6 linked regions of the Rattus norvegicus genome follow. The protein of the gene in region 4 binds, or shares a complex with, the protein of the main gene of each other region. Links are inferred from orthologs where the notes say so. Each region holds a gene or a part of one and is shown on either strand. Other genes may lie near its edges. The genes, in order: Cnot11, Cnot9, Cnot7, Cnot10, Cnot2 and Cnot8.

Region 1 (3,500 bases), on a different chromosome or scaffold from region 4:
GTTTGGGTTCAAACCCAGGAGTGTTTGTGTAAAAGGAAAGGATGCCACAGGTCAGCCATGTCTCCAGCCCCCTAGATGAGTCTCCCTAACGTGTGTCCAGTGGAGGTCCTTTTATACCTAGTAGTCTTACCATCTCCATCCGTCTGTCTGACCATAGCTGACAGTCCTTACTCTGCTTTCCCTGGAAACCAACCAAACCAAACAGAAACCCACGGGTACCATCTGGGTGGTTTGAGTGATGAAGACGTTCTGCATAGGGGGTAGAGCATCATCCCCTGGTCACAGGACGTCCAGGATTTTGAAGCGTACGTCAAATGTGACTTCCATTCGGTGTAATCTCTGTGGCATAAGAGGGTTTACTGTTTGCAGTTTCAGCTCATTACAAGCCTGTCTCCAGTTATGTGGTGGTTTGGTTTGTACAGGATTTCTCTAAGTAGCCCTGGCTATCCTATAACTTACTCTGGCCTGGAGCTCAGAGATCCACCTGCCTCTGGGTTTGATTGCATGGACCATTGGTCAGCTATGTGCATAACTGAGCATAGCTGCACCTCAGCATCCCTACCTCTCAGGAGAAGTACTTCCTTGTGCTGAAGGCTCTTTGTGAGGAGAGGTAACGGGAATTCACTCTGGTGATGCTGGTGAGGGGACCCTGGAGATAATTGGCTTGGTGATCCTTTGCCAGGAACAAGCCAGATCTCCACTTCGGCTGATAGTGGGATCCATAATACAATGAACTACCTTCTGTCCTGTGTGGAAAATGCTCTCCGGAAGGCTGTGATGGGACTGGGTAAAATCAAGCAGGGAGAGGGAGTTCTTGTACCCCAGTGTAGTGGAAATTACGAAGTTCTTATCTCCTGGGCCTTTTGTGGGGCTTAGCAGGCAGGCAGGATGCACAGCTGGATAGAGGACTGGGTGTCTATCGTGTTAAATACTGAGATTTATAGTAAAGTTGTCTTATTGTGCGTGGTTGTTTGTGTATAGCACTGTGGGTCACTGGAGTTAGGCTGCATGTGTTATATATAAGAACATAATACACCACTGGGGCAAGCTGTGTGTTCAGGTGTTGTCAGATGAGGTCTCATTGTGTAGCTACTGAATGAAGGACAATGTTAGTTCAGAAGTACTGATGAGTTACACATCAACCTTGAGTTGTGGGGATAGCCCCAAGCACGATGTATAGCATTCTGAGACCCTAGGGGCCAAAAAAAGAAAGGGGGTTGGGGGGCTCATAAAATTTTAATTTTATGTTAGGTATGGTGACAATACCTTTAGTCCCAGCACTTGGGAAGCAGAGGCAGGCAGATCTCTGTGAGTTTGAGGGTAGCCTGGTCTACATAGTGAATCCCAGGATAGTCAGGGACATAATGAGACTTTAAGATAACAATCAAGGGTTGGGGATTTGGCTCACTGGTAGAGCGCTTGCCTAGCAAGCGCAAGGCCCTGGGTTCAGTCCCCAGCTCCAAAAAAAAAAAAAAAAAAAAAAAATTAGGAAAAAAAAAAAGATAACAATCATAATCATCAGCCAAGTTGACATCTGCGTCCTCAGCCTAAGTGGATATGCTTGCATTAAAACTTAATTCATGGGGTTGGGGATTTAGCTCAGTGGTAGAGCACTTGCCTAGCAAGCGCAAGGCCCTGGGTTCAATCCCCAGCTCCGGGAAAAAAAAAAAACAAAAAAAACCTTAATTCTTTCTAAAAAACAGATTTGGTATCTGGCATCATGCTGGTGTGTGTGTGTGTGTTTGTGTGTGTGTGTGTGTGTGTGTGTGTGTGTGTGTGTGTGTGTGTGTTGGTTATAATTTGAGCAGAACTCTGATCTTATATTATTACTATTTGAAGCATGTTTTATAATGTGTCCTTGTTAAAGGCATTCTTGTACTTGATTAAATGCATATAGGGTGTGTGTAAATGTTAGCTTGCTGATAGTCTTGTATTACTCTCATTATAGGTCATTTTCGCCCAGAGTTCATCCGCCCACCACCACCTCTCCACATCTGTGAGGATGAACTGGCCTGGCTCAATCCTACAGAACCCGAGCATGCCATTCAATGGGACAGGTCAATGTGTGTGAAGAATAGCACTGGTGTGGAGATCAAGAGGATCATGGCAAAAGCCTTCAAAAGCCCTCTGTCCTCTCCCCAACAAACACAGGTATGTATGGATTACACTATCCCATCTGTGCTCATCACAGTTTTCTTCCCAGGAAGTAGTAAGTGGGCAGTCAGTTGTTGATGTGAACCAGCAGGAGCAACAGAGGTCTTCACAATCCCAGCCGCTGTGTTGTGACCTTTCCTTGTTTGGCAGTTTTGCTCCGCTGAGACAAGAGGTCTAATGACTAAAAATGTCTAGACTCTTCCATTTTGTCTTGGAGAGAGGTAGGAGAGGGCGAGTGTCAGTCGGGCACATCATCTGCATTACTGCATCAGGCTGGACAGTGACTCTGGATGGTGTATGGGGTTACTAGTGTTTTATAAAAAAGGAGGTTCAGGGAATGCTCTAGACATTAGCTACAGTGTTTAATGGTAGACTGAGGATATCTTTCCTGCTACCCAAAGTTACAACTAGATGGATCCCCTGAGGAAGCAGAGCAAAGATACCAGGTGGTTGTAGATTTTGTTAGATTTTCACACTTTCAAGTTAGAACTGATAGGAAGACACACTTACCTCCAAGCTAGTTTTTTATTTAAAGTACAGATTTTTTTTTTTTAAAGATTTATTTATTTTTTTATACATAAGTACTTGCTGTCTTCAGACACCAGAAGAGGGCATTAAATCCCATCACAGATGGTTGTGAGCCACCATGTGGTTGCTGGGAATTGAACTCAGACCTCTGGAAGAGCAGTCAGTGCTCTTAACCACTGAGCCATCTCTCCAGCCCCTAAAGTACAGATTTTTTAAAAAGTTTGTTTTATACACATGGGTGGTTTGTCTGCATGTATATCTGTGTACCATGTGCATGCAGTGTCCACAGATGCCAGAAGAGAGCATCATCCTCTGGAACTGGACTTAGTGATACTGTGAGCCTCCATGTGAGTGCTGGGAACCAAACCCTGGTCCTCTAGAGAGTAGCAAGTGCTCCTGACCACTGAACTATTTCCTGGCCTCCCCACAAATATTTTTAAGTGATGTGATAACAGTTGTAGTCTGTTGCTCTTAGATGATCATGAAATGGTCCAGTGTTGAATACACAAGTAGGTAAAAGGAGATAGAGTTAGAAGGGATGGGTGTGATGCGTGCCTGCAACCCCAGCACGTGGGAGACAGAGACTGAGACTCAGCAGTTACAGGCCAGGCTCCACGGGATGAGGAGCTCAAAGCCAGCCTCAAAATAAATGGACTTTTAAAAGAAAGAAAAAGTACATATTTGGACAGAGAGAAAAAATGTTTTCCCACCTCTTGGATTTGCAAAGCATGGGTGTGTTTTGAGCCGTGAAGTACTGCAGGTGGAGGACGGAAGTGTTGCCTGTTCTGTCCCTCTCTGGGGCGCTTGGGTAAGACAGG
Region 2 (3,500 bases), on a different chromosome or scaffold from region 4:
AGATGGAAAGGGAACTCTGACACTATCAACAAGTAAAAAACATTCCAGTGGTAGCCCTGTAGTTTCCATAGACCAAAGAAAGTGTTAAAGGGAGAGGGGACTGAGACAGCAGAGTGCAGCTGTTTAACTCTGAAAAAACTCATTCAGCTAATACTGCTTCAAGTATAATCATGAGGAGATGGCACTACTGAAACCCACACGAGAAGAACGGGGTCAGGGCCCCATTTGGATCTAGGTGCTTGTTCCATTTGAGAAGACACCTGGAAACTACCTGTGAAGACTTGAACCTGAAGAACTGCCTCCCTCCACCCCAGTACAACTCTCTAAGGAAGGCTGGGTAAATTAAGACGCCTGCTTTAAGTCTAAGTGGTAGGAAAGGGGCAAGCGCTGAGATTTGGGTGGGCTAGCAGCCGAAGCCAGAGCCAAAGTGAATGTCCTCACAGCAGCCAGGCTTGCGAGGGAAACAACAGGGGCAGAGGGGAATGGTTGGTAGTGTTTTTGCTTGGCTTTGCTTTCCTCTTCCCCTGCCTCCCATTCCACCCAACAGCCTGATAGCGCCATCGGTCTGCCCGAGGGGATGCAATGCCCAGACCAACTTTTATTGAGCTTATGCAGCTAAGAGACGTGTAAACAGTGCCAACTGACAAAGTTTTGCTGAAAACTACAGCTTGTGTCCATTAAACACATCTCTCTCTTTTGAGATTAAAAACAAAAATCCAAAGTAAACAAATACTGTGTGAGAGAGAATTAAGAGACACACCTTGAGTCGTCCAGGAAGGCAAAGTTTTTTGTTTTTTGTTTTTTTTTTTTTAAAAAAAAGCCACATGGTTTGGTCCCAGGTGCTCTCCATGCCTACAGTGTTACTGTGATTACCACCTCTCCTCTCTCTACCAGTGGCTAGGCAGAGGTTGGGGAGCAGGGTCATCTTGGGCATGCTGCAAATACAGCATTTGCTGGTGTTGACACCCTCCTGGGGCTGTGGTAGCAGACTGCTGTCAGGAGCCCAATTCCTGGGAGCAGTAGGGGGATCCAGGACCTCCAGTCAGCCCACACACCTCAGTGGGGTACCTTGCCCCTTTTCTCCAGTACAGTTCAGCATTGAGGTTGTCTATTCCCAGTCGGCAATAAAACCTGAGCTGTTTTCCTCATAGGTTCCACCCTTACTCCCCAACGTAGGGGAGTAGTGAGAGGGAATGTCGAGGATCACTGAGGGGGCAGGGGAATTCCCCGGGGATCGGTGACTTGGCCCTCCTGCAGGTTCTTCACCAGTTGTGCAAGCCAGCGTTTGGTGGTGGTGTCATCTTTTAGCACCTGGGCAAAGGTTGTGTCCTTCAGCTGGTCAGGGAGGCACTGTCTGAGTGCTTCACGTGCCCTACATCAGAAACAAACAAACCAACCAGAAAGACAACAAATAAGCCCACATTTGGGGGCTGGGAAGACCCCCTTTCTTAGATATAAACATGCAACTTCCTAGGAATCTATAGCTATCAAGCTATACCAAGAAACCATTAGAATTCCTTAAAGTAGGTGCTATGTAGTCCACAAATATTTTCACCACACCCCAATGCAGAATTTCACGCAAAAGCAAAATGGAATAATATGATGCAATAGTTCATTTCACTCCAAACTTTGTTCTGATTTATTGATAAATATTGTCGAAATACCATTAGATATAGTTTGAGAAATGAAATTATTTAAAAAATTGTATACTAACAGCAGATATGACCTTATTTGTATGATAAACCGATTTTAATTTTACACTAACACCAGTTATGGTTTTACAGAAATGTTTCAACTTTGTATCTGAAACCTTAATAAAAAATAGTAAAAACTATGGTAGCAGTTTTTAATCTAGAAGCCTAAAATAAGCAAATACCAACTCTATACAGAGCTGTTCTACACAGTTTCAGCTCTTAGACTCAAACAGGTTAATTTCTAATAAGTATATTGCAAACTGGTGGGGGGGTATAAAAAAAAAGGACAAAATGATCAAAGAATAGCTAGGGCTCAAATAACTCCAGTGGTTACAGACCAGTTCACATTAGTCAAGCCACTTGATTCTTAGGAACTCAGAAAGCACTCCATTATGTGGCTTAGCAGAATCTGAACATGTAGATTTCATCATAAATTATGTATTAACAGGAGAAAAGGTCAAACATTTCTGAAGTGCATTACATCTATCTACAAAGTACACGACTGTGGCAGAGTTCTTGAACCTACCAAGAAAAAGTAATGAGCTCCATAGTTTACAGGAAGCAGAGAACTGCAAGCTAAAAAAGCCTCTAGGCTACAGGACTTTGCAGAGACCTTAAAGTGTACTCTGAGTACTTGGAGTAGCCATAGAAAGCCCAAACCGCACTAGCCTCCCTTGAAATTGCTTGGGCTTTTGGGAATTTCAGGGTAGAACAGAGTTACAACAGGAAGATCTAACTAGTGCACTTTAAACAAAGTTTAATTTATTTTATGGATGTGAGTACACTGTCACTGTCTTCAGAAACCAGAAGATGGCATCGGATCTTATTACAGATGGTTGTGAGCCACCATGTGGTTGCTGGGATTTGAACTCAGGACCTCTGGAAGAGCAGTCAGGGCTCTTAACCACTGAACCATCTCTCCAGCCCACTAGTGCACTTTAAAGTCAGAATTTTAGATTTTAACAGGAACTTAAGTTTTTCTTAGGTAAACTAAAGTTATATGGGTTCTAATACTCAAGACAGAGGGTCTGAGCCGTAACATTAGAATCCATTCATGAGACTATTTCTCCCAAATCTTGTGAATCCTGTTAAATCTTTACCTGGGATTATCTGAGAGTCGAAGGTAACATCTTACTACATGCTTCAGCAGACGGGCAGATGGTTCTTTGGATAGCTGCAGGACCATTTTACCCTGTTTTACCCAAAAAAAAAAAAAAAAAAAAAAAAATGTGGGGGAAAGTCACAAAATAATTTGAACTGACACCAGAAATCAGATCATCTAAGAATCATTTTAAAGTTCTTGAGATTTTTTTTCCTTTTTGAGACAGGGTCTCTATATGTGGCCTTGGCCAGTTAAGCACTCCCTACATAGATCAGGTTGGACTTGAACTCACAGAGATCTGCCTGCCTCTGCCTCTAGAGTTCTGGGACTAAAGACATATACTATCACTCCAGCTAGTATTTTGGGGATAGGACACTACTTCTTCAGTTGGCTGGTGAGAAACCCACGCTGCTGCTTCAAGTCCACATTCATCCTTTTGCCTCCCTCTGCCTTATAGATATTGGAATGACAGGCATATATCACCATACCTGGCCAGAACAGTTATTTCTAGTTAGAAGACTAAGTTTTTGACCAGTTACAAGATGACTAAGCTTTGTGATCAAAATAAACTGCAAAGAGAGTAAAGGAAAGAACTCACCAAGATCATGGCAACATGGGAAAAACGCTCATATGTCTGACATATATAAGCCAGACCAGTGTCATCTAAGAGGATCTTCTGGAGGATGAATGTGGCAACCTGGAGT
Region 3 (2,662 bases), on a different chromosome or scaffold from region 4:
GGATGTAATCAGATAAAAAGCTCAACTGGGAAGATTCTTTTGCAAGGGAGTGCAGCTGAACTCACCAACATAGTGAATAATGACTTAGGACAGTCACAACAGCAGGATTAGAGATGTGAGCCTCCACACCCCGTCTTCTTTCAGTCAGGGTAAGGAAGAGAAGACAGTTGATATAAAGGGTACAGCATGCCTTGTTTTATGGCCCAGACCCAGGCTGGAGAATTTACTTATGGACCAGATGGCTTTACTGGAACTTTTTTTTTTCTTTTTTCTTTTTTTCGGAGCTGGGGACCGAACCCAGGGCCTTGCACTTGCTAGCTTACTGGAACTTTAAACACTAAAAAACCAGACCAATTTATTGAAAACACACACACACACACACACACACACCACCCCAGGTACTGAAGCATGACCAAATCCTGTTCCCAGAGAAAATGCCTCAAGTATTCAACACTTCTAAGTGCATGCTTCAAAACCAAAGTCACCAGTCACAAATATATAGGAAAACATTCTTGAAGCCTTTATTTACAAAAGCTTTAAAAACAAATAATACCCTCTGTTTTGCAAATAATGTTTAGTTTAAAAAGGACCGCCCAGGTACAGCATTTTCGTATCATGTATACAGAATGTACAAGGGAAATGAACTGTGTTGCTAACAGTTGGAGACTTTCTAATATTATTGATTGAAGTGTAGATAACACACATTACAACTTGTAGTCCGTCACTTCAGGGTAGAGTTAATGTTCACCAAAATCTTCCAACACATGCTCTGGTGTGGTCACGTATTCTGCATGGCTAAATATTTCACAGTCTCTTGTCAATATATATAAAATAGATTGCAAAGATATACACAAAAAAATAAACAAGCATTACACTCCTCAGGTAATTTTATTAGCTATATGTGTGTATTTATATATATATTTTGCATTTTGTTGTTTTGCACCAAATCTCTCCATTATTTATTTTTGTAGCATTTATGAAATCACATTTTTTTTTGTATTTTTAATTTGATATAAAATGTACCTAAAGACTTGTTATCTTTGGACTTTAATGAAATTGATTTGCGTAGTCAACAAATCAAGAACATCATAAATATGTTTATAAAATAAAACATTAAGGGTAAAAGTGATGGAGTAAAAGGAAGCCGGTCAAGGGAAGCGTTGCTGTCATAAAACTGTAGTTCCACATCTTAAACGCCAGTTTCTTTCTGGCAGAGTGGAAACCTCCAATCGCAAGGGCTTCTTCCTGAAGGGTGTAAAGCTGGTTTGAAATTCTTCAGTCACATAGCAGCCTATGCATGCCAATTAGAAACCAACAGACAGGAGATGTGTTCGGAAGGTTAAACACTACACACAGAAACAGTAGTTACTAGGCTCTTCAGTAGTTCCTTGTCTTCTTGTTAGTCCCGTTGAATCAACAATTTGCACAATGCACGTGCTGTACTCTGAATGTCAAAAACAAGCAAATACTGTAAAAAGGTGGTGGATGGTCATTTTTCTAGCTAAGAGCAAGAAAAATCACAATTTCTGATAAAATAGAGGATTGAAATCACTCTATAAAGTGCAAACTTGATGGTCCACAATCTTAAATACCTATAAGTACTGCAGAATAGGAGGAGAGGCACGGAAGAGGGAAATAAATTACAGTCAATGCTAGTTAATTTAGGAAAGGGAAAAACAAAACCAAGCTCAAGTAGGCAAAGTTTGTCAAATTATTCAGTAATGTAGCTTTGTCACACAAGCTTGATAAGAGGTGTATTAAATTAAGGCCAGATTTAACCTGAATGTACTTTAATTTATTAAGATCATAGCTAAGAAAGGCCATACTTATTACTGAAAGCAGAAAAGAAGGGCTACCAAAGGAGGGGCAGGTATTGCCTATTATTTAAGGGATGATAAAACCTATATACAAGCATGTGTGTAACTCGTATAAAATAAAAATAAGAAGACTATTTCCTGTCACGACTGCTTGCTGGCTTCCTCTTCATATGCATTCCCTGTGCCGTTCTGTACATAGGATGAGCCAGAACCAAGGCCGTATAAGTGGCCACAGTATTTGGCATCATCAATGTGATCTTCAAAGAACATCTAAAAATAAAATCGAAAGAAAAAAATCATCTTAAGCAAATGATATGACCTGTAGTTTATATCTCAACATTGTAATTGCTATTAATTAGGTAGAACAACTCTTTCCCGTGATGTTCCCTGGAGAAGCTATACTGCATATTTAACGAATAAGACTGACTGACGCCCTTCACTACAGGGCTCAAGGACCCTTTAAAATGCAAGTCTTTCTTTTTCATTAACATTTACTTCATCTTAACGAGAATTTATGAGCATAAAAACATGCAGACCGTTTAATTTCTTTAATATAACAACCTTCAAAGAATGAGAGAGATAATGGCAGAAGAAGAGGAGATGTTACACCATTTTAAGTTGTCTTAAGTCTAAGTGCAAGGCTGAATTGATTAAAATTAACCAAACCCTAAACATGTTATAGATAGTAAACACCTGAACATTCTCACTACATTGCCAGCCTTGAAGCCAAGGGCAATAAAGCTAACAAACTGGTGCCAGAAACTCACCATTAACTAGCTATAAGGCATTTTTAAAATAAAAATCCAAAAGGTGGTTCTATATTGAAACTAAACAATTTACTTGCG
Region 4 (2,497 bases):
ATACTGTCTGTTTTCAGACACACCAGAAGAGGGCATCAGATCCCATTACAGATGGTTGTGAACCACCATGTGGTTGCTGGGATTTGAACTCAGGACCTCTGGAAGAGCAGACAGTGCTCTTAACCACTGAGCCACCTCTCCAGCCCACATGAAGTTTGTCATGAGCAGCTGACTGACTCTTAATTGAGAACGTAGACCACGGTGCTGCTTGCTTGGAATTGCACAGCGCAGTATTTTTGTTTGGTTGGGTTTTTTTTGTTTTGTTCTTTGTTTTTTGGGTTTTTTTTTTTTTTTCTTTTTTTTGGTTTGGTTTGGTTTGGGTTTGTTTTTTAAAAGGATCTCTGGCAAAGTTTTATTAAAGGAAAACTTTCTTGTTTACTTCTCTTCTCACCGGTCTATTCTGGCGTGCTTTTAATAATATGAGAATCACCTGGGTCACTGACAGCCAGTGTGCATACTCTGTAGTATTTTCCACACGCTGTGCCCAATTCAGTGTTATTGCCACTGTGCTGATGGACACCAGTTTAAGCCAACGTGGCATAGTACTCTATTTCAGATTTCCTCAAAGCTGGGCAGTTGCTGGTGAGGATAACCAGGTTGCCTTGTCTGATCGTCTTCAGATCTGTCTGTGCCCCAGCACGTGCTTGCCACTTTTCATAACAAGCTGGAGCCTAGAGTTGATGGACTCCAGAGACTTTTTCGTCTTTTTTTTTTTAATTATTTTATGTATATGAGTATACTATAGCTTCAGACACTCCAGAAGAGGGCATCGGATCCCATTACAGATGGTTGTGAGCCACCATGTGGTTGCTGGGGATTGAACTCAGAACCTCTGGAATAGCAGTCAGTGCTCTTAACCGCTGAGCCATCTCCCCAGCCCACTTTTTCCGTCTTCTTTGCAGCCACCATCTTCTTGCCTTAGGTGCGGGACAACCCCCAACCAAGATCAAACGCCAAGATGGCTGGGGAGCGAGAAAGGGCTGGTTGTTATTTTTTTATCTGTTATTTTTATTCTTTTGTGTTTGTAATGGGTTCCACTATGTTGCCCTGGCTGGTCTGGAACTTACTGTGTAGACCAAACTGGCCACAAACTTATAGATCCAGCAGCCTCTGCCTCTTAACTAATGTATGTGATTAAATGTATATTCCACTGCTCCACACGCATTTTACAAGAATTGTCAAAAAAAAAAAAAAATCAAAGCCAGGCACTTGGGAATTGAACCTGGGTCCTCTGGAAGAGCAGCCTGTGTTCTTAACCTCTGAGCCATCTCTCCAGCATCTTCTGTTTTTATAGTTGAAGAGACTAATTAAATGCCTGGCACTCTGAGGGCCTGGCTGACTGAAAGCCAGGATGTCTATAGGAGGTGGTAGGCCTGAATCCCTTGAACCCCTTCTGTTGTACAGCCTGCCTGAGTTATAAAAACTTGTCTGGGCATCAGTTCCTCGTCCAGCTGGGGCAAGAGAGCAGAGCTGTCTAGGACTCCGTCATCTCCTTTTCAGGCTTCTGTCACCTTGCTCTGTACAGTGCTGTGTGCCTGCTCTCTTTAATGGACTGTGTTTCTCTAGGTAACACGCAGCTGGCCTTGCAGATGATCAAACGGAACCAGCTGCTCCCTGCAGTAAAGGCGCACTCCGATGTGAGGAAGAAGACAGTATTCCAGCCTGTGCACCCCATCCAGCCCATCCAGATGCCGGCATTCACCACGGTACAGAGGAAGTGAGCGCTCGCTGTGGAGGAGCTGTACCTGAGGCCCAGGGCGTGTTGAGGGCCTCTCAGTTGTCCACAGGAAAGGCAGTAGAGGAAATACAGTGGCAACAGTGCTGGCCGGAAGGCGGTTTGAGACGAGTGCACCCCTCGGTTTTATGGCAGAGGCTTACTTAAAACTAAGGACTCATAACCCACTGTCAGCTTTTATTTAATCTCTGCAAGTCTTTTAATTGTGAACCATTGTGTTGGTATGTCTGTGTCTAGGCATTAAAACATGTTCTTATCAGAACAGTTTTGTGGTCTGTTTTGAAATAGTTTAGCAACTGATTTATTGTTAAGGTTGAAAAGAAAGAACTAACAGGGGCTGGGGATTTAGCTCAGTGGTAGAGCGCTTACCTAGGAAGCGCAAGGCCCTGGGTTCGGTCACCAGCTCCGAAAAAAAGAACCAAAAAAAAAAAAAAAAAAAAAGAAAGAACTAACAAATATCTGCTCTAAGCATTTCAGAAGTTCTTCTTGGGGTACAGGAAGTGAGGTAAACTCATGCTCACCTCCAGGGTCTGTCTTTTTTTTTTGTTGTTGTTCTTTTTTTTCGGAGCTGGGGACCGAACCCAGGGCCTTGTGCTTCCTAGGTAAGCACTCTACCACTGAGCTAAGTCCCCAACCCTCCAGGGTCTGTCTTAGTCACTGCTCTGTTGCTGTGAAGAGATGCAAAAGGGAAGCATTTAACTGGGGCTGGCTTACAGTGGCAGGGTTAGTCCAGTACCATCGTGGCAGGGAATTTGGTGGCAC
Region 5 (4,300 bases), on a different chromosome or scaffold from region 4:
GAAATGAGCAAGGGTTGGGGATTAAGCTCAATGGTAGAGAGCTTGCCTAGCAAGCGCAAGGCCCTGGGTTCAGTCCCCAGCTCCGGGGGGAAAAAAAAAAAAAAAGAAAAGAAATGAGCAGAGAAGGATTACTGGTATTTCTAATTTACCAGCAGTATAAAATATTTATTTTTGAAGTTTTAATAAATCTAAGGCATCTCTGAAAAACCAAAAAGCACCCACCTTTATATAGGGAAAATAAAGGTGATTATTATTTTAGGGAGCATATCATTTGGAGCTTGATTTCATTTTCAAATCAAAGAGTTCTCAGATGGCTGGGATAAAAACCACTCACAGACATCAATCTGCTTCATTTTCCACCAAACAAATTTATTTTAAAGCACTTTAGAAACAGAATTTTCCAAAGGCTGCATTTACTGATGTGCAGATGACTCTCAGCCTCTAGCATCTGGTAGGGTTACAGATATCTCTAGACTGTATCTTAGAACCCAAGTGCTCTGTCAACACATGCACTACCTTAACTTCTGTATATTAGTAAAGCATTAACAGGAATGCAAAGAAAAAAAAGCTAAATACAGTTTTTATTTCTGGTCTAGAGTTATAAAATACTTAGAAAAAAGTCACTTTTTAAAAAATGAAAAGGTTCCATTTTAAAAATAAGGATCCTGCAAAGTCAGTAAAAGTGAAAAGTAAAAGAAATTGTGCATTTTGAACTTTTCCTTTAGCTTTAAGATAACAACAGACTAGATAGGAGAGCATAAGGATCCTTGTTAATGATCTTGGATCATTAAGAAAACATATCAAAGACACAAAACCTCAACACAGACAATATGTGAATGTAGACAGTCATTTCAGTGTACTGGATTTTTAAACAACACTTCCAACTTGGAATAAAATACCTTATAAAACTACAAAGGTGACTTTTGAGAAGGAACTGTGTTGAATATGCCAAGCATTTCCAAACATAAACTGTTGTGAAAGTTTAAATTTCTATCCCACTCGCTCCATATAAATTACCCTCACTTATTTGTTTGGAAAGGGAAATCTATAAGAACACAATTCCATCTCCTTAAAATTTCTCACTATGGAGAATAATAGAAAAATGTGTTTTTGAACATCAAATGTCTCCCTTGTGAACAGATTTGGTTAACTCAGTATCATACTTTCTACCATTCGCCAAGAATCTAAGGATCATATTGCTATATTTTATTAGGAACTGTCCAGATGATTAAAGAGAAATTCTTGGCTAAGAATTTAATGAAAATGAAGCAAAACACTCTTAACACTTGTTTTTCCAGATGCTGAAAAGTGGAGATGTCCCCTAGGATTTCCAAGAAAGTGTGTAAGATATTTTTGGAAGTAATAACATACTAATGGGGTCTAAAGTAAATGCAAAAAACAAAACCTTAGAAATAATTTTACGAAAAGAAAAGTACAATTAGATTCCCCTAAGGGCCTACAGATAACAAGGATTCTAAGCTTTCTCCTAAGCAAACAGTACCTCAATTAAGAACTATCGGGTTTCTTTTAACCCAACTTATTTCTTCTATGAAACTTTGAAGTGAAGACCTAAAACAGCAAAAGGTAGAGAGGGCCCGGCGGAAGTAGAAACCAGGGCTTGCAACTTCAGAGTGTCTCCGGTTCCTCCTCCGCTGCCCCAGGACCATCCGAACTCAAGTCTACACCACAAGAGAAGCTTCCCTCTCCGGGTACGGTGGCAGAAGCAGCATCTTAAGTTGCTCTCCTCCCTCTACCTTGCAAGGCCCTTCGGTATCTCAGGGCCTGGAGGCTCCTGAGGCCCGTTAGCCAGTGCGATGTCCCCATCTTACACAAACAAAAACACACAAGTGGCGGAGGATGCGCGTGTATTGCCAGAATGGGAAGATTCAAGGACCAGCAGCTGCTGGGAACGTGGCAGAGCCGTCTAAAGCGGCCGGGGCTCCTCGGATGCTGCCGCTGCCGCTGCCGCCTTCTCTCCTACCCCAGGAAGCAGCACGGCGGCAGTGGCTGCTCCGCGCCGGCGGGAGCCGGGGAAGCGGAGTACCGGGAAAGCCCCGTCGCGGGCAGCCAGGACCGGGCCTAGGCTCCGGAGCTGCAGCGGCTGCGGCGGCGGCGGCGGCGGCGGCGGCGGCCCGAGCACGGCGACGCTTTACGTCTTGTCCACCCCGCCACACACCCCCTCCCTCCTCCAGCGCCGCCACCCCCCTCCCCGCCCGCTCCGCTCTCCCTCTCTCGATTGGAGCCGAGACAAAAGCAACGGGAAGCGGCGGGCCGGGACGCTACCCGCGGACCCCGGGCGCGACCGGACCAGCCCCGAGGCATTCCCCCGCCTTGAGGGGGCCCTCAATCCGCCTCCCCCGCCGCGCGCCCCGCTGCCAGACTTCCGAAAATTTGCCAAAAACTCACCGCATGAATTTTCTTGTCCCGCGGATCCAAGATGGCGACGTATCCACCGCGGAGGCTGCTGGGAGCAAGACCTTTACCCTCTGACCCCCGCCGTGACCCCCGTCGCTCCGACTTCGCTCTAAGGCGGCGGCAGAAGGTGGCGAGCGATGCTCGCCTCAAGGACAGAGTGTTTCCCGAACGCCGGTCGACGGTGAGAAGCACGGCGCTCCTCAGGAGCCTTCCCGGGCTTCCGCCAGGCGTCCCGCCACCTCCCGCGGAGGTGCGGCGCTGCCTTGTGGCGATTACGGAAAGTGGGGCCTCCGAGGCCTCGCCGGGCTTCCCAAGCCAGACCGCCACACCAGGAGCTGCGGCCTGGGGTCCGAGAGCGGCCTCGGGGGCGGGGGCGGGGAAATGCTGAGGCAGCGTGGGTCCGCCCACCTGGGGACGCACAGCGTGTTTGTGTTTGTGTTTTCGTCGGACACCCCGCCCCCGAGCACCTCCTGCAGTCTGTCCCCGGGCTAGTGCTACTACTACCTGCCGGCGCAGTGGCAGCGGTACTCAGGTCCAATCGTCGTTCCGCAGCCTGCGCTTCCCGGGTGCGCACCCCCAAACACCCGCCGCACGCCGCCGGCACCCCCCTGAGCAGTGAGTTCCCCTCCGCTGGAACCTGGGCGTCTGATCGCCGCCCCCCCTCTTCCTTTTCATATGTTTTTTCGGTTCAAACCTGGTGAGAGGAAGTAAGGGGAACGTGTTTTTAAAGCACCACGGGGAGGGCTTAATCTAACCGTCCGATGTTTATGGCATTTTACTTAGTTCCCGCCCGGCGCGCCCTTTGTAAACCTTAGTGATCAGCTGGCTCATCCACTAAACCTTTTGAAAATACGGTGGCTGTGGTGGGAACTTCCAGGGTTTTGTTCTCCAAAACAGTGCAATCCCTGAAAGTAAAATTCGTTTTCATTGCTGTAATACTCTTACTTTACTCCTTTGAACATCCATAAACTTCGTGTTTTATGGTTACTAAACTTGCGAAAAAAGCCTCTGTGTGTTTTGAAGTTACTAGTTTCATAACGCATTGCTATTCCTGTTTGAGTGGTAGAACTTATTAATGTGGATTACTACTAATTTGAAGTAAATAAAATTTCTGCTGTTTTATTTTTTTAAAATTACCTTCTTCCAGCCCCATCCCCCACCCCAATCAACCAATATATATCACTTCGGTTTATCATAGTTGAAGGCCAGAAAAAGGAAGATAAAACCCAAGATGAAATTAAAAGTACTTTTGTCAAGGTTTTGAAGGTATTTTGGTTTATCAGCAAATATGCATAACAGTAGATATGTAAATTTGTTTAAATATCAACAGGAACTGGTATAGCCAAATAGAAAAGGTTTATTTTGCTGGGTTTTTCATTAAATACTCCATTTTACCCTTTTGTGTTTTGTTTTGGTTTTACTTCAGGGAAATTCAAGAAGGAACTACACAGTCCTATATGGCCCCTCCCCCAAGAGTGCTTTCCTATCTCTTCTGCTTTCTCTTCCTCTCAAGTTAACATCTACTGCTGTAAGGTAGTGTGTTCAAAGACTGAGTATACCTCTAGGCACGTACAGTTCTTGTGTATGAATGCATGTAATACAGAGCACCTTAATCTGGCTACTAATTATTTGGAGCCCTTTATGTGTATATAGTAGCATTATCACATTAAATAACATTAAATATTTGAATTCATTACTCTTCTTACCTATATTAACTTAACACATTTTTGTCCAAGTTTTAAAAATTGCTTTCAGTGGAGAAGGTCTGAGTTTTACTATGATTGGGTTTTACTAGGTGAGATAACATTTTCTTAATTAATGTGTGGAGCAAATTAATATGTGGAACTGGAATGCTAGGAAAGCATTCAATGAATGACCTAACATT
Region 6 (3,988 bases), on a different chromosome or scaffold from region 4:
GGTCCCCAGCTCCGAAAAAAAAAAAAAGAACCAAAAAAAAAAAAAAAAAAAAACACTTCTGGGGCTGTAGAGATGGCTCAGCGGTTACGAGCACTGACTGCTTTTCCAGAGGTCCTGAGTTCAAGTCCCAGCAACCACATGGTGTCTCATAACCATCTGTAATGAGATCTGATGCCCTCTTCTGGTGTGTCTGAAGACAGCTACAGTGTACTTATACGTAATAAACAAATAAATAAAAGTTAAAAAAAAACTTCTGGAATAAAAGTTTAACATAAAAAGGGCAGAGTAACTGGGGGATGGGACGTCAGAGGGGGACACCTGCTGTCCGCCTACCTACAGAGCCCCTTGGAGAGGAAGCACCAGGGATGGAGGCTGGAGCTGCGCTAGAGGAGGAGGCGGTCCTCAGAGGCCTTAGTCTTCTCGCCGCGTGGGAGAGCACGAGATGGCGATGCATCCCAGCATGGCCTCGCTGCCAGCTGAACCCTCTCCGGGACTGGCCCCTCTCTCTGCACAGGCCCGGGTGCAGCGCTGCTTATGCTAGCTGGTTGCCAAGACAACGTTCCGTCTAGGTCCTGGGAGGCAGTGCTCAGCTGACCTCAGTTAAGACTTAATTTGGTGGCGCCCCCCAAACCCCCACCTAATGGCCATTCAGAAGGGGTTCTATGGATAGATGTTCTCTGAGTGAGGAGTTCAGGTCGCAGTAATCGAGGGTCAGGACACCCCATGTTCCCTGCACCATCACCTCCAACCAATAGTCCTAATACGCCCTGATGTCAGGAAGTGGGGCCAACTCTAGATTCCGTCTTCTCCCGAGGCGCGACTTAGGATATTTCAGAACCCAGAAGGGGATCCAATTTACACAGCTTGACGCCGTCTGAGGCCGCAGGGCATACCTCGTTTTGCGCACGCGCCCTCCGAAAACCCTAATTTTCTCGTTCTGCGCCTGCGCAAGAAGGCGGAGCGCGTGTATCTGAGCGCGCACTGGGGGAGGAGCCGAGACTGGCGGGCCCGCGCACGCCTCGAGTGACGCGAAGAGTAGGCGAGTCGGGAGGGCCGAAGGGTAGAGAGGCTCAACCTTCTGGTTTGTTGCAAATCGTAGGCCGCTCTGGGCTCCGGGGCTTGCGTCTCATTGTCGTGTTGGGTTCCTGGAGCGGATCCGGGGCAAGAGGGAGGAGAGCTCGGGGTCAAGGGCCGCTGCCGCCCGCACTCGGCGGGGCCGCCAGCCAGGGTAAGCAGGCTGGGTTGCCCAGGGTAGGAGCTCGAGGCGGAAGTGCCTCCGTGGCGACCCATCCTACACACGGGAACACTGAGGCTAGGGGGGCTCTTGGTCCCCTAAGTCCAGCCTGGAGGCCTAAGGAGGCGGGGGGAAGGCAAGAGGCCTCTCTGCTTGGATCTTGGGGTGCTGCAGCTTTGCGTGGCAGAGCCGCTCTCGGGTAGCCAGCAAGCTGGATGGGGTGCCGTCTGAGTTCAGGGCTGTGGCCTGGAACGCTCCAGAGGGGACCTGTTGCCATTTCTTCTAACGGGCCGCTGCTTCCTCCTTCGCCGGTCTTGCTCGGCTAAGCCTTTTGTTTAGTCTTCTGGAACAGGGAAGTGAAGCTTTTTGTTTCCCAGACGCTCTGGCGAAAACAAAACCAGACAAGTAGGAGACACTCAGCTGAACTGTCTGCAAGGCTAGCAAGGAGAGCATGTTTCTTGAGCTCTCACTTGCTTGCACTTCTTGCACTACTGCTCACCTGGGTGCACAGAGACCCTGCTCCGAAGTTTGGATAATCAGGAGCGGTTTCAATCAGGAGATTGTTTTGCTCGCTCGCATACACACACACACTCCCCCCCCCCTCTCTGTGTCTCTGTGTCTCTGTGTCTCTGTGTGTGTGAGAACACAGGGCAGGGTGTGCGTGTGTCTGTGGTGTATGTGTGTGTGTGAGAACACAGAGCAAGGTGTGTGTGTATGTATGTGAGTGTGAGAACACCTTTTGCTTTGCAGTTTCAAATGTAGCTGGATTGGGGATCAAGTTTTAAAGCCAGCCTGTGAGGCAAACATTACATGGGATCAAAATTTTCCTTTAAGGAGTTGGAGAGATCGCTTAGGTGTTGATGCACTCAACCCTTCTTTCACATACTCATAAATAAATGGAATAAAAATAAATCTTTAGAGGAGAATGCAGCCTCAACCTCTGAACCTTCCTGAAGAACTTTGAAGGATTTTTTTTTTAGGGATTAATGTTTATTAGTGTATGAATTTGCAATTAATGCCATGTGTGTTGGTGGCAAAAATAGGCCAAAAAGGTGTCAACGTTCTCTGGAGCTGGAGTTACAGGCATTTGTGAGCCAACTCACATGAGTGCTGGAAACCAAACTCTGGTCTGCAAGAGCAGCAAGTGCTCTTAACTGCTCAGCCATTACTCCAGCCCTCATTCTGCTTTAAGCTTTATTATTATTATTATTTTTTTTTTTTGTTCTTTTTTTCGGAACTGGGGATCGAACCCAGGGCCTTGTGCTTTCTAGGCAAGTGCTCTACCACTGAGCTAAATCCCCAACCCCTTTATTATTATTGTTGTTGTTGTTGTTGTTCTTGTTATTATTGGTGTACACATGTGCCAAGTTGCATCATCATCATCATCTGTGTGTACACATGTGCCAAGTTGCTCAGCTGGCTCACTGACTGGTTTAGTTTGCTTTCTTTTCTTTTAAAAACAGGGTCGCAGCTGGTTGTGGTGGTACTTGCCTTTAACCCCAGCAGTTGGAGGCTGAGGCAGTTGGATCTCCGAATCCAAGGCCTGTTTGGTGTACACGGTGAGTTCCAGCACAGCCAGGGCTACAGAGAGAAACCTGTCTCAAAGGACAAAACAGAACAGTGAAATAAAAGCAGGGTCTCCTCCAACTGGCCTGGTGACTCCTTTCTCAGCCTCCTGAGCGTGGGATTGCTGTCTTATTTCTGAGTGTATATAGCTCAGGATGCCATTTTTTTTTTAAGTCGTGAAATTCATTATTGCTCTTCTGGTTGTAACCTAAATAATGAGGTTACTTCAGGGGCTGTTATACTAATAACTGTACTTGAAAACATAGACTCACTTCATCTGAGGTATGGGAAAGAGAGGCTGAAGAAAAGAAGTGTGCTGCTTCTTAGAGCCTGGGCTCCCTGGGTGGAAAGTGGAGGAGGCTGGTTGCCTGTGTGGAGTTGCTGTTTTCTCTCTTCCCTGTGGCCAGCATGCCAAAAAGTTCACTTGCTTAGTAAAATGTGCCTTATGTGATCTCCCTTGTACGTCTGCAAAGGATCCCTTGTGGATCTATCTGAATTATAGGGTCTGAAGCCAAGGCTGATCTGGAACTTTCCAAGTTTTAGCACAGGCATCCTCTTCATTGGAAAGGATCTGCCTTTCCTGGGCTGAAATCTGCCGATCGTATCTGCACAGATTTGCTAGGGAAAGGTTTGCTGCAGGGATGACTTGTGTGTCTTTGCCAGTGTCTGCTCCTGTGTGGCTGCCCTTTACCTGATAATAATGTAACAGTAGCTTTGAAAGTGGTTGGCTTCCCGAAACAAACTCTTTCTTTAGGCAGTTTGTTTCTTTATGCCTGTGTTTTAATGGAAACAACTTTCAGCAGTCCAGGACTGACACCCACTTCCCTGCTATGTAGTTTATGGCTTGCTTAGGGAAACAAGGTTGTTGTTTTCAGTAACCAGACATGGGAAGTGACTTCAAGAGCCAGGTGCAGTGGCTCATGCTGATAGCTGCAGCACTTGGGAGGCAGAAACAGGAGGATTTTTACAAGTTCAGAGGCCGGCCTGGAGAAGTCTGGAGTAAACATTTTCTCAGTTGTCAGGAAGTTGAATTTACTGGGCATTCATTGTGAGTGAGCATCTTTCCTAGTCTCTGCTAGTTCACTTGCCAGCCTTTATTAATAAAAGAAAAACCGGAGAAGAAATGGATTGTGCCTTCAGGAGGCAGCTGCCACATGTTTCTTTATGTTGAGAGCCACCACTCAGTGT

The links.
Region 1: Cnot10 (region 4) and Cnot11 share a complex: the UniProt entries of both Homo sapiens proteins name them as parts of the CCR4-NOT complex. The link is inferred for Rattus norvegicus from reciprocal best matches to the Homo sapiens genes CNOT10 and CNOT11.
Region 2: Cnot10 (region 4) and Cnot9 share a complex: the UniProt entries of both Homo sapiens proteins name them as parts of the CCR4-NOT complex. The link is inferred for Rattus norvegicus from reciprocal best matches to the Homo sapiens genes CNOT10 and CNOT9.
Region 3: Cnot10 (region 4) and Cnot7 share a complex: the UniProt entries of both Homo sapiens proteins name them as parts of the CCR4-NOT complex. The link is inferred for Rattus norvegicus from reciprocal best matches to the Homo sapiens genes CNOT10 and CNOT7.
Region 5: Cnot10 (region 4) and Cnot2 share a complex: the UniProt entries of both Homo sapiens proteins name them as parts of the CCR4-NOT complex. The link is inferred for Rattus norvegicus from reciprocal best matches to the Homo sapiens genes CNOT10 and CNOT2.
Region 6: Cnot10 (region 4) and Cnot8 share a complex: the UniProt entries of both Homo sapiens proteins name them as parts of the CCR4-NOT complex. The link is inferred for Rattus norvegicus from reciprocal best matches to the Homo sapiens genes CNOT10 and CNOT8.

The regions. Positions count from the first base shown.
Region 1 is NC_086027.1:49,313,624-49,317,123, forward strand, and holds part of Cnot11 (CCR4-NOT transcription complex subunit 11), read left to right. Parts: intron 1-1,948; coding exon 1,949-2,151; intron 2,152-3,500. UniProt on the Homo sapiens protein: Component of the CCR4-NOT complex which is one of the major cellular mRNA deadenylases and is linked to various cellular processes including bulk mRNA degradation, miRNA-mediated repression, translational repression during translational initiation and general transcription regulation.
Region 2 is NC_086027.1:83,553,869-83,557,368, reverse strand, and holds part of Cnot9 (CCR4-NOT transcription complex subunit 9), read right to left. Parts: intron 3,494-3,500; coding exon 3,395-3,493; intron 2,887-3,394; coding exon 2,795-2,886; intron 1,373-2,794; coding exon 1,204-1,372; 3' UTR 1-1,203. UniProt on the Homo sapiens protein: Component of the CCR4-NOT complex which is one of the major cellular mRNA deadenylases and is linked to various cellular processes including bulk mRNA degradation, miRNA-mediated repression, translational repression during translational initiation and general transcription regulation.
Region 3 is NC_086034.1:58,495,882-58,498,543, reverse strand, and holds the end of Cnot7 (CCR4-NOT transcription complex subunit 7), read right to left. Parts: intron 2,088-2,662; coding exon 1,959-2,087; 3' UTR 501-1,958; downstream 1-500. UniProt on the Homo sapiens protein: Has 3'-5' poly(A) exoribonuclease activity for synthetic poly(A) RNA substrate. Its function seems to be partially redundant with that of CNOT8.
Region 4 is NC_086026.1:123,158,175-123,160,671, reverse strand, and holds the end of Cnot10 (CCR4-NOT transcription complex subunit 10), read left to right. Parts: intron 1-329; exon of another isoform or gene 330-715; intron 716-1,566; coding exon 1,567-1,721; 3' UTR 1,722-1,997; downstream 1,998-2,497. UniProt on the Homo sapiens protein: Component of the CCR4-NOT complex which is one of the major cellular mRNA deadenylases and is linked to various cellular processes including bulk mRNA degradation, miRNA-mediated repression, translational repression during translational initiation and general transcription regulation.
Region 5 is NC_086025.1:54,105,161-54,109,460, forward strand, and holds the start of Cnot2 (CCR4-NOT transcription complex subunit 2), read right to left. Parts: upstream 2,801-4,300; 5' UTR 2,412-2,800; coding exon of another isoform or gene 2,407-2,411; intron 2,153-2,406; exon of another isoform or gene 1,502-2,152; intron 1-1,501. UniProt on the Homo sapiens protein: Component of the CCR4-NOT complex which is one of the major cellular mRNA deadenylases and is linked to various cellular processes including bulk mRNA degradation, miRNA-mediated repression, translational repression during translational initiation and general transcription regulation.
Region 6 is NC_086028.1:42,781,058-42,785,045, forward strand, and holds the start of Cnot8 (CCR4-NOT transcription complex subunit 8), read left to right. Parts: upstream 1-1,188; 5' UTR 1,189-1,228; intron 1,229-1,244; exon of another isoform or gene 1,245-1,370; intron 1,371-2,463; exon of another isoform or gene 2,464-2,537; intron 2,538-2,671; exon of another isoform or gene 2,672-2,697; 5' UTR 2,698-2,793; intron 2,794-3,988. UniProt on the Homo sapiens protein: Has 3'-5' poly(A) exoribonuclease activity for synthetic poly(A) RNA substrate. Its function seems to be partially redundant with that of CNOT7.